Chlamydomonas reinhardtii: one gene and its partner. The protein of the gene in region 2 binds, or shares a complex with, the protein of the main gene of each other region. Links are inferred from orthologs where the notes say so. Each region holds a gene or a part of one and is shown on either strand. Other genes may lie near its edges.

What was found.
Region 1: CHLRE_16g676314v5 (region 2) and CHLRE_12g515650v5 share a complex: the UniProt entries of both Arabidopsis thaliana proteins name them as parts of the eukaryotic translation initiation factor 3 (eIF-3) complex. The link is inferred for Chlamydomonas reinhardtii from reciprocal best matches to the Arabidopsis thaliana genes TIF3H1 and EIF3K.

What each region holds. Positions count from the first base shown.
Region 1 is NC_057015.1:3,875,099-3,879,578, forward strand, and holds CHLRE_12g515650v5 (uncharacterized protein), read right to left. Parts: upstream 2,945-4,480; 5' UTR 2,917-2,944; coding exon 2,839-2,916; intron 2,727-2,838; coding exon 2,550-2,726; intron 2,356-2,549; coding exon 2,247-2,355; intron 2,085-2,246; coding exon 1,960-2,084; intron 1,680-1,959; coding exon 1,603-1,679; intron 1,200-1,602; coding exon 1,106-1,199; 3' UTR 450-1,105; downstream 1-449. Other genes in the region: CHLRE_12g515600v5 (uncharacterized protein), read left to right, coding at 1-16, 119-265, 338-421; CHLRE_12g515700v5 (uncharacterized protein), read left to right, coding at 3,306-3,951, 4,136-4,438. UniProt on the Arabidopsis thaliana protein: Component of the eukaryotic translation initiation factor 3 (eIF-3) complex, which is involved in protein synthesis of a specialized repertoire of mRNAs and, together with other initiation factors, stimulates binding of mRNA and methionyl-tRNAi to the 40S ribosome.
Region 2 is NC_057019.1:3,507,211-3,511,643, reverse strand, and holds CHLRE_16g676314v5 (uncharacterized protein), read right to left. Parts: upstream 2,830-4,433; 5' UTR 2,734-2,829; coding exon 2,554-2,733; intron 2,392-2,553; coding exon 2,282-2,391; intron 1,849-2,281; coding exon 1,146-1,848; 3' UTR 527-1,145; downstream 1-526. Other genes in the region: CHLRE_16g675958v5 (uncharacterized protein), read left to right, coding at 3,208-3,248, 3,324-3,549, 3,977-4,273. UniProt on the Arabidopsis thaliana protein: Component of the eukaryotic translation initiation factor 3 (eIF-3) complex, which is involved in protein synthesis of a specialized repertoire of mRNAs and, together with other initiation factors, stimulates binding of mRNA and methionyl-tRNAi to the 40S ribosome.

The DNA of each region.
Region 1 (4,480 bases), on a different chromosome or scaffold from region 2:
AGCCACGGCGGCGCAGGTGTGCAATGGCTGTGGTTTGACGAGCGTATGAACGCTGATGTGGGCACTTGCGCTTTGGGCGGGTAGCTGACGTTTGCTTTCCCTTGTGCCGTGACTTCAGGCTGGCCTGGAGAGCGCGGCGGAGAGCGCTATTGTGGCTGCGGAAGCGCGCGTGGCCCAGGCGTCCGAGGCGGCTAAGGAGGCGGAGGAGCGGGCGGCCAGCGCGGCGGCGCACGCGACCGCGTACCAGGACATGTCGCAATCGCAGGTGGGCAGGGTACGGAAGGTGTCTGCATCAGAGAGTACCGATATCTGGGCCAAGCAAGCAAACGGCGCAAAGGACGCGAAACAAATTCTACGTTACACAATACACGCGCATGCATACTGCGCACTCTTGGCACTCCTGTGGGTGCCTCCAAGCTAAGCGCCTCTAACCCCATCTCTTCACACAGGCCGACATTGCCGAGCGCGCTGCATCCATCGCCAAGCGGCCGCCGCCCGGCCCGCTGGACCAGCTGCAGCGCCTGTGGCGCAGCGTCACTGGGCAGCCGGCGCACAACAGCCCGCAGCGAAGCAGCGGCAGCAACATCCCGTCCGCAGGCGCGCCGCGCCCCGGCACCGGCGGCTCGGCTCCTACAGGCGGCAGCGAGTCTGGCGGTGCCAGCGGCCCTGGCGCGGGGGGCAGCGGCGGTGGCTCGCGCAGTGCAAGCGTCGCCGCTGCGGAGAACCTAGGCAGCACCGTCAAGGGGCTGCTGTCGTGGCTTGGCCAAGGCGATGGCTCCCGTTAAGCTCGCTACACGCCACCAGCAGCTGGCTACATAAGCGCCGTGTACTATTCCAGCTAGCCTCCTTTGTAATGGGGTGCCATACCGCCGAACAAAGTCAGTACAGTAACGCCTTCTGCGATGCCTTCGCATGCGTGTGCGGACCGCCCCAAGGCGGGGCACGGCTTCTCAACGAATGCCCTTCACGCACTCAAGTCTACAACCCGATGGGCATACCGGGATCCAACGGTCTTCTATCTAATGCCTAGAAGAGTCTGACAGTAATGGTTGTGTGTCATGCTGTCATGGTCGTGTCGTCAAGTAATTTCAGTAGTAGCGTTGATTTAAAAGCCCACGGTCACGGCCTTGAGCATGGGCGCCACCTGGTCGAAGCGGATGAGCTCCTGGGTGCGCTTCACGACCGACTGGTTGTCGTCGCTGCGGGCAGAACGCGGGCGTAATACAGGGCAGGAGGGCCATGAATGGCGTGAGCTTGTAGCACTTGGGGTACAACCCCAGTTTTTAGGACAATCTGATACTAGATAAGCACGATATGTAGGTGAGTGTTGATGGAGGAGGAGAGGTTGTTTGCGGGGTGTGCATTTCCAGAGTACAGGTGCGGCAGGATTGGAGGTGGGCAGGTGGACATGGGATGTCGCGGCGCTATCATGCCATGTGGCACAGGAGGCACCAAACATGTTACCATGTTCGATCAGCTGTTTCAGCTCTGCGTGCGCCCACGGTGTGCCCGCGTGCCCCGCTTCCCGGCCCCTCATCCTAGCAATGCCAGCAGACCCCGCCCCCTCCGCAGGCCAGTCCAGAATTCTGCGCCTGTACTCACTTCTTGGGGAGCCCCACCACCTCGCCAGCGGGCGTGTTGACAATGCTCCAGCCAGCCGACTTGCACTTTTCAGACAGCTGTGGTCAGAAGCAAGCAGCCAGCAGGCGCGTTTTTACCCTGATGCTAGCTGATGAGGCGCACTGGCGAAGGGACCTTCAAGCCGGCGTCACAATCTCCCACCCCGCCGTATGCACACAGCTTAACCCTTTCGCTCACGTCCTCAAGCGACGCTCCTCAACGCCTTTCTACCCAACCCAGCCCTGCTTACTGCGCACCATTCACATGTAAACGCACACGGAGACACTGCCGCCACCACGCCCCCCCATAAGAAACTCGTAAGCGCAATGCATCACTCACGTACTGCTCCAGCGTGGCGCCCTCCAGCTTTAGGCAGTCCGCCAGCGTGCGCTTGGTCACGCGGCCGTAGGTGTGCACCAGCGTGTGCGCGATGAAGCCGCGCACCGACTCGTAGAAGCCGGGGACTGCAGCAGAGCAGCAGATAGAGCTGGTTTAATTGGCATTCGTGACGTGTGGCAATCGGGGCGCCTCTGTTGCCTCTGATTCCGCATCCGTTGCCTTTAAAAACCCCTGCGTCCTAGCTGAGTGGCTCCCACTCCAGCCAGGTCCCCGTGCGCTGCACTTACTGCCGCCCAGCAGGTCGCGGCAGGTGTTGGCCGCGTTCCAGAAGTCGCCGAAGCGGCTGGTCTCCAGCGCGTTTGCGAGCTGCACCACCTTGTACACCGACTCGTCAGACTGCAGCAATGCAGGGTTCGTGCAACGGATGGAGCAATAGTGGAACAGGAGAGGTGTGGAAACAGCCATGAAGGTGCCACAGCATTCCCCGCGTGTCTTGGGCGGCACCCCACGGTGCGGCCCCTAACCCACCCCACCCACCCCCTCCCCCAGGCCCTGACGCTTTAAACGCCATTCCACTGCACTTCGCACACCTGCAGCAGGCGCTCTGGAAGCAGCGTGATGCAGCATTTGTAGTCCTGCGCGGGCGCCTGCATGATCGCCTTGATAAGCACCTTAGCGACAATGGCAGGCTTCACGCTGGCCGGGCTGAACTGGTAGAAGCGCAGCAGCGTAACATTAGCATCCAGGCTCCATGAGCGGTTCGCGACCTGCAGCAGTGCAGGACGCTTTCAGCGCAAATTGCCGCCGCCGAGCATGTGTCGCCGTGCTGGCACCAAGGGGCCAGGGGACTAAACGGGCTGCTAAGAAATACAGATCTACCTGCTCATCAACATACGCCTCAAGCTGTGGCAGCTTGTCCGGCGAGTAACGATCAGCACCAGTCACGATAAGAGACATTTTAACTGGTATGTAAAGAAAGGAAGTGTCAACGTAAAAGAAAACCAAGACAAGTGGATGCTCACCCTGGGATGCGACGCTGCGATGGCCGATGATGGGGCTCCGAAGCGGTAGAATCCACTCTCTAGTCTGTGAAGTGCAACGATACTGCATGAGCTACGAACGTAAAGCTGTATACACGCACTGGGAAACTGATTTCTTGCATAGCGCGCGTCTCGACAGCTCGCCAAGCTCTCTCCCTGCTCCGAACACGCCGCGAACCCCACAATTATCGCGTGCTTTAGGAGAGACTGTCGCGCCTTGAGCGGCTCTGCAGGGGCCGGGCGCTCGAGCGATCAAGAGGAGCGTCGTGCGCCAGCCCCGCCCTTCGCGTCCTGTCACCTTCCACAATGCTCCTCCGGTTGCGGCAGGCGCTGCCGCTGCTGCAGACCTTCAACAGGTGGTCTGCAATAGCACCTATCCCCAGATTCCGCAGCTTCCCCGCTGCCTCGTCTGCCGCTGATAGCGACAGCGCCCTGCCAGCGGTAGACGGTGCCAGCGGCGAGCCGCCCAAGCCCAAACGCACTCGCCGGGCAACCTCCGCGGCCGCCGCCGTGCCCAGCGGCAGCAGCGATGATGTACCAGTGGCAAAGAAGCGGGCTAGCCGCAAGACCGCTGCCACTGACAGCGCGACTGAGGCAGGGCTGGACCCCTCGTCTGGGCCGAGTGAGGACGACGCCGAGGCGGCAGCGGCTGTGCCCAAGAAGCGTGCCTCGTGCCGCAAGGCGCAGGCTGCCGAGCCGGGCGAAGAGGCCGCTGCTTCAGCATCCGGAGTAGCAGAGGTTGGAGGTGATAGCGCAGCTGCAGCAAAGCCAAAAGTTACGCGCACGCGTCGCACTAAGGTAGCAGCCGAGACAGTTGCAGAGGGGGGCCCGGAAGCGGCGGCGGCTCCTGATGGGGAACTGCAGGCGCCCAAGAAGCGCGTATCCAGACGCAAAGCTGCCGTGAAATCATCATCCCAGGAGGATGGAGAGGAGGAGAGCATTACCATACGGAGTGAGTGGGTCTGCGCCCTTGCGCTTGCTCGCCATCAGGTGCTGCCAGCAGCGTTCTACTCTCCACTACTGCGAAGCCCGTTCCTGCACCCTTGTCACCCTTTCCTGCGCCCTGCGCGCCGTCCGTCCTCCTCACTCTCATCTCTCCCCAACGCCCACCCGCTGCCGGACTGCCCCGCGCCCAGGCCTGCCGTACGAGGAGTGCCTCGTGCTACCGCGCCAGGCTGAGGCGCTGCTGGTGGTGCTGGGGCTGCGGCCGCCCGCCTACACACACGAGCCCGCGCCCGAGGGCTCCTCCTCCGCTTCCACCTCCTCCTCCCGACGCGCTTCCGCGCCTGGCACGCCGCTGCGCAACGTGCTGGAGCTGGCGGAGTTTGAGGGGCGGCCCAAGCTGGACCGGTATGCGGAGCCGCTGCTGCTGGCCCAGTACCAGGGGCTGCTGGGTGACAGCCCCGACTACCTGTACGACATGTTCCTGCTGGATGCGGGTGAGAGCGCGGAGGTGTCATGGCCATGGGTGAAAGAGCGGA
Region 2 (4,433 bases):
GCGCTTCCCGAAATCCGCCAGGATGGGCTCCCGAAACCCGACGGACCCCCAGGGACGAGGACCGACCCCCCAACTTTGGCGGCCCAGAACTTCCTCACCAGACGCCCCCTTGAAAAACTAAAAGCACGTGCATAATGCTCTCCTTAAGCTCTGTAATTTTGAGCATGGGGTAAGAAATTGAGCTTTCTACCCCCCCCCTGATTTAAAGGCCGTTTGAAGTGTGGGGTGTGCCTGCGCGATTCTCACCCCTCCCCCCTTGGTTTAGTTCAGGCTAATACCTACAAATCCAATACAAGCAGAAATGGCGTCGGCGCATTGCTCAAAGCCGGCGGCTTTGCCTGCAATGACAGTTGCACTGTGGGGCTGCGCAGGCTGGCGAAGGAGCCGTCAGGGGTGCCACTGGGAGGCGCAGTCCCATGTTCCCGTATTAAGCCACGCACACCGACCTCCCATACCCACCCCACGCATCGCAGTCATGAACGGAGGGCACCACACTTAACATATCTGAGCACGAGAACGCGCGAAGATGCCGTTACGCTTACATACCGACAAGGCAGAGCCTGCCGCGTAGGGAATGTGGGCTGTCTTACTTGTACGTGCGCCCATGTTCGCCCTCGCGAGGAGAGTCAACCGTCACGGACCTTGCCGCGGGTTGCACACAGCGACACCTCACAACTTGCACTCCTGCAGTCCTCCTACAATGTCTGATCGTGTACTGGTTACGTCCACCCTCTTAGAGCAACAACACTCTGCACTCGTCATGTCTGCCTATGCGCCGCTAGCTGGCGCGCTCAAAACAGCGCAAGCTGTGTGTGCTTCAACGCGGCCATACCACAAACGCCCCACCCAATCCCATCCCGCCCTTTGTCCCTCAAACTGAGCACCTAATAACTAATGCCACTGGTAGGTGTGCTCGGTAGAGCAGTTGCACCAGACAGCGCCTTCCGCCTTCAAACCACTACAGTCCCACAGCACACACTACGCGCTTCATGTTTGGCCCCTGCAAGCACAGCCTCTGCGACAGCACCCATCATAAGCGGTGCCATCCTCCTGCATCCCGTGTCTGCATCCCGTGGTCATGGGTCTGTACAGCCGAGCCCGCAGCCCCAGCAAGCGCCTGCTCTTCCGCTCGCAGGTCCTCGAGCTTACAACCCCGCCTTCTGCATGCCCTCCATCAGGAACAGCTTTTGAATGGTCTCGCCCGCCGCCACGTTGACCTGGTCGCAGTAGGTGGCGATCTGGTTGGTCACCAGGTAGTTATCCAGCATGGATGGCTCGGGAATGGGCTTGAACAGATTTGGGTCCTCCTCCGGCAGCGGCTCCTGGTTGTCAGCCTGCCGCTGCTGGTTCTCCTGCCGCCGCTTGGCCAGCCACACCGCGTACGCCTGCTGCTGGCGCGCCACGTTCTTGTGGTACATGGTCACCTTCTGCTGCTCCGCCACAATGTCGTCCACGCACTCCAGCAACGACTGGATGTTGCGCTCCAGGAAGGGGGCCGAGGACAGGTTGAGTCGCTCCACGTCCGCCTGGGTCGCGGTGGGGGCGGGCATCAGGTCCGCCACCAGCGCCTGCACCAGGTTGCTGTTGCGGATGCGGATGGGCAGCTCCACGAAGATATCACGCCACGACAGGTTGGCCTCGCGAAAGCCCTTGAGCGTCAGCTTCTGCTCCTTGCTCAGCTCAATGAACGACTCCTTGAGGCGGATCGCCTTGAGCGCGATGCTGCCGCGCGATGAGCGCTGGGGGTCATAGATGATGCACACGCACTTTTTGATGTTCTCGTGGTAGTTGATGAACGTCTCTATGAGCTCCACGGTTTGGAAGGTGCCCATGTTGGCCGACTGGTACCTGTGGGGTGCGGCCCGGCAGGTGCACGGTTCGTAGGCAAGCGCATGGTGCGCAGTCGGGTCCAGCCCTGAAGATGCTCGGCGGCTGCTACCCCGAGGTTCTGCTTGCGGTACTGTCGCGGGTGGCTGATGGCCATGTCGCCCCCAGGCCAGTCTCGAGCCCCGCCAACGGCCGAACGGGCCTCGTGTCCGCAGGCAAGGACTCTGACAGGCGGTTCATACACGGTGGTTGCCGCAGCTAGCGTGCCGCTCATGTAGTGCGCACATGCCCTTGTCCGCTGATGTCCCGGCGGCTAGCATGAGTGCTACGGTACCGTCCCGCCTTGGGGCGCTTCCCAAGGGCGCTTCCCCACGTCAACTCCCCCTCCTCTGCTTTTGCACCTGACTCCTTCCCTCTCCTTTCCCCCGCGAGCTCGCGCATTGACTGCACCCACCAGCCGACGGTGTTGTTGTCCACGTTCACCTCACGCAGGCAGCGCATCATCTCCAGCTGGTAGTTGGCGCCGGCCGACTCTGCCTCGGAGTCATCGTCCGCCACGGTAGCCTGCACACACCCGGCCCACACCATCGCCGATCTTTATTGTGCATATGCATATGCTGATACACGCGACTTTCCCCTGCTATGCGTGCTCGACAACGCGAGCAATCTGGGGGCCGCCCAAAAGTCCGCTTGGCGCCCTCAGCGCCTGCTATCCTCAGCGCTCACCGGGAACGCGAAGCAGTCCGTCACCTCCAGCTGTTGACCAACATCCAGGCCCAGCAGCTGGCCGGTAACGTTCTGGGGCAGCGCCTCAGTGCAATGCTGGATAATCTTCAGCAGCACCTGACCCTCAAGCTGCACCGTCTTCACGAGCTCCTTATGCGGCTTAGGAGCGATGGCCTCCATTTTTCAGCGCCTCTGCAATAAACCAGCGGCCTAAGTCGGCGGCGCCGTGCCTATAAGCAAAGCCTGTTTTTCAAAAGCTAAACACAAGAGTAAACGATACGACTACACGATGTCTACAGTGATCAGGGTGTGTTTGGCTGCAATGCGGGGCCCGATCGCACTTCCATTTGCAATGCAATTTCTCTCAGACCTGAAATGTCAGTTTGCTGCTGTACTTTTCGCGCTTGTACCTTCGTGCTTATGCTGAACAACAACGAGTAGCATCACCTGTGTTTCGAACTAGGATCGTCGCAACAGTCGCCAAAAGCTTGCGCGTTGACGAGGGCGGCTAGGCCTCAAAGTATACTTGGCAGTATGGCGCGCTTGCGCGCGAGCTTGCTGATGGCAGCGCTGCTCGGAAGCGCTGTAGCCCTCGTAGCATCGGAGCGAGTCTTGCTGGGCAGCGACCATAAATTCAAGCCCGGAAGTGACATCATGCTGTATGCAAACAAAGTCGGACCCTTTCAAAACCCGACGTGAGTAGTTTTGCTGCAGCCAGCGGTGCCAGCTCGCGCGCCAACGCGGCGCGATTTTCGCTCCTTGCCTTGCAGGGAAACGTACCAGTATTACAACTTGCCGTTCTGCCAGCCCACTGACGGCAAGGAGTATAAGACGGAATTCCTAGGCGAGGTGCTTGAGGGCGACCGGTTGGTGACAACTCCCTACAAGCTGCAGTTCCGCACCGATGTTGAGAACGCGGTGCTCTGCAAACGCACGCTCACTGCTGGTGACTTAAAGAAGTTCAGGGATGCCGTGAAGCAGGACTACTACTTCCAGGTGCGGCGGGTTGACACGACTGGGACCAGCGGGTGTGCGGGCGCGTGTACCCCAGGACGTGTCCGTCCCGGCCCGGTGCACGCTGCCAGCAACTCCCGGCCTGTACTCGTCGCTGACACCCCATGCGCCGGTCAACACCTCTATTGCGTGTTTGCCCTCATTCGCAGTTTGCCCGCATGTTGGGTTACCGTGTGCATGTTGGGCCTTGCCACCCTGCACACCTGCCCCGCAACCTGTCGCACATACCAGAAGAGGATAGTTCCTGGTGCGCGCCAAAGCACAACAGCGGCTTGACCCGTCATATGCCCCGTCTACCCCAAGAAGTTGCCTTTAGGTTCTCTTTGCGTGCTCCTGTGCGTGCTCCTGTGCGTGCTCCTGTTGAGCGTCGCTTAGGTACTTATCTCTGACCCCGCGGCTCTGACCCCAGATGTTTTACGACGACCTGCCTGTGTGGGGCTTCATCGGCAAGGTGGAGAAGATTGTGCAGCAGGGTACGCACAAGTACTTCCTCTTTACCCACTTCCACTTCGACCTGTCCTACAACGACGACCGTATCATCGAGATCAACGTGTCCAGCGACCCCATGCGCACAGTGGACATCACGACCGCAGACACGCTGGACGTGCAGTTCTCCTATTCGGTCAAATGGAAGCAGTCGTCAGTCACCTTTGACCACCGCATGGACCGCTACGCCCGCTACTCGTTCCTGCCTCAGCATCTTGAGGTTAGTTCAAGCGTGGGGCGGAGTATGTGTTGGGCATGCGCTGCATTGGGGACTCCGTTCAGCGGGCGGAGTGCACTCAATGCATCTGCATGCCGCACAAGCAAAACGCAGTAGCTGATGTTGGGGAGCCACATGAACTGGATGGACAGAGTTTGCTGAG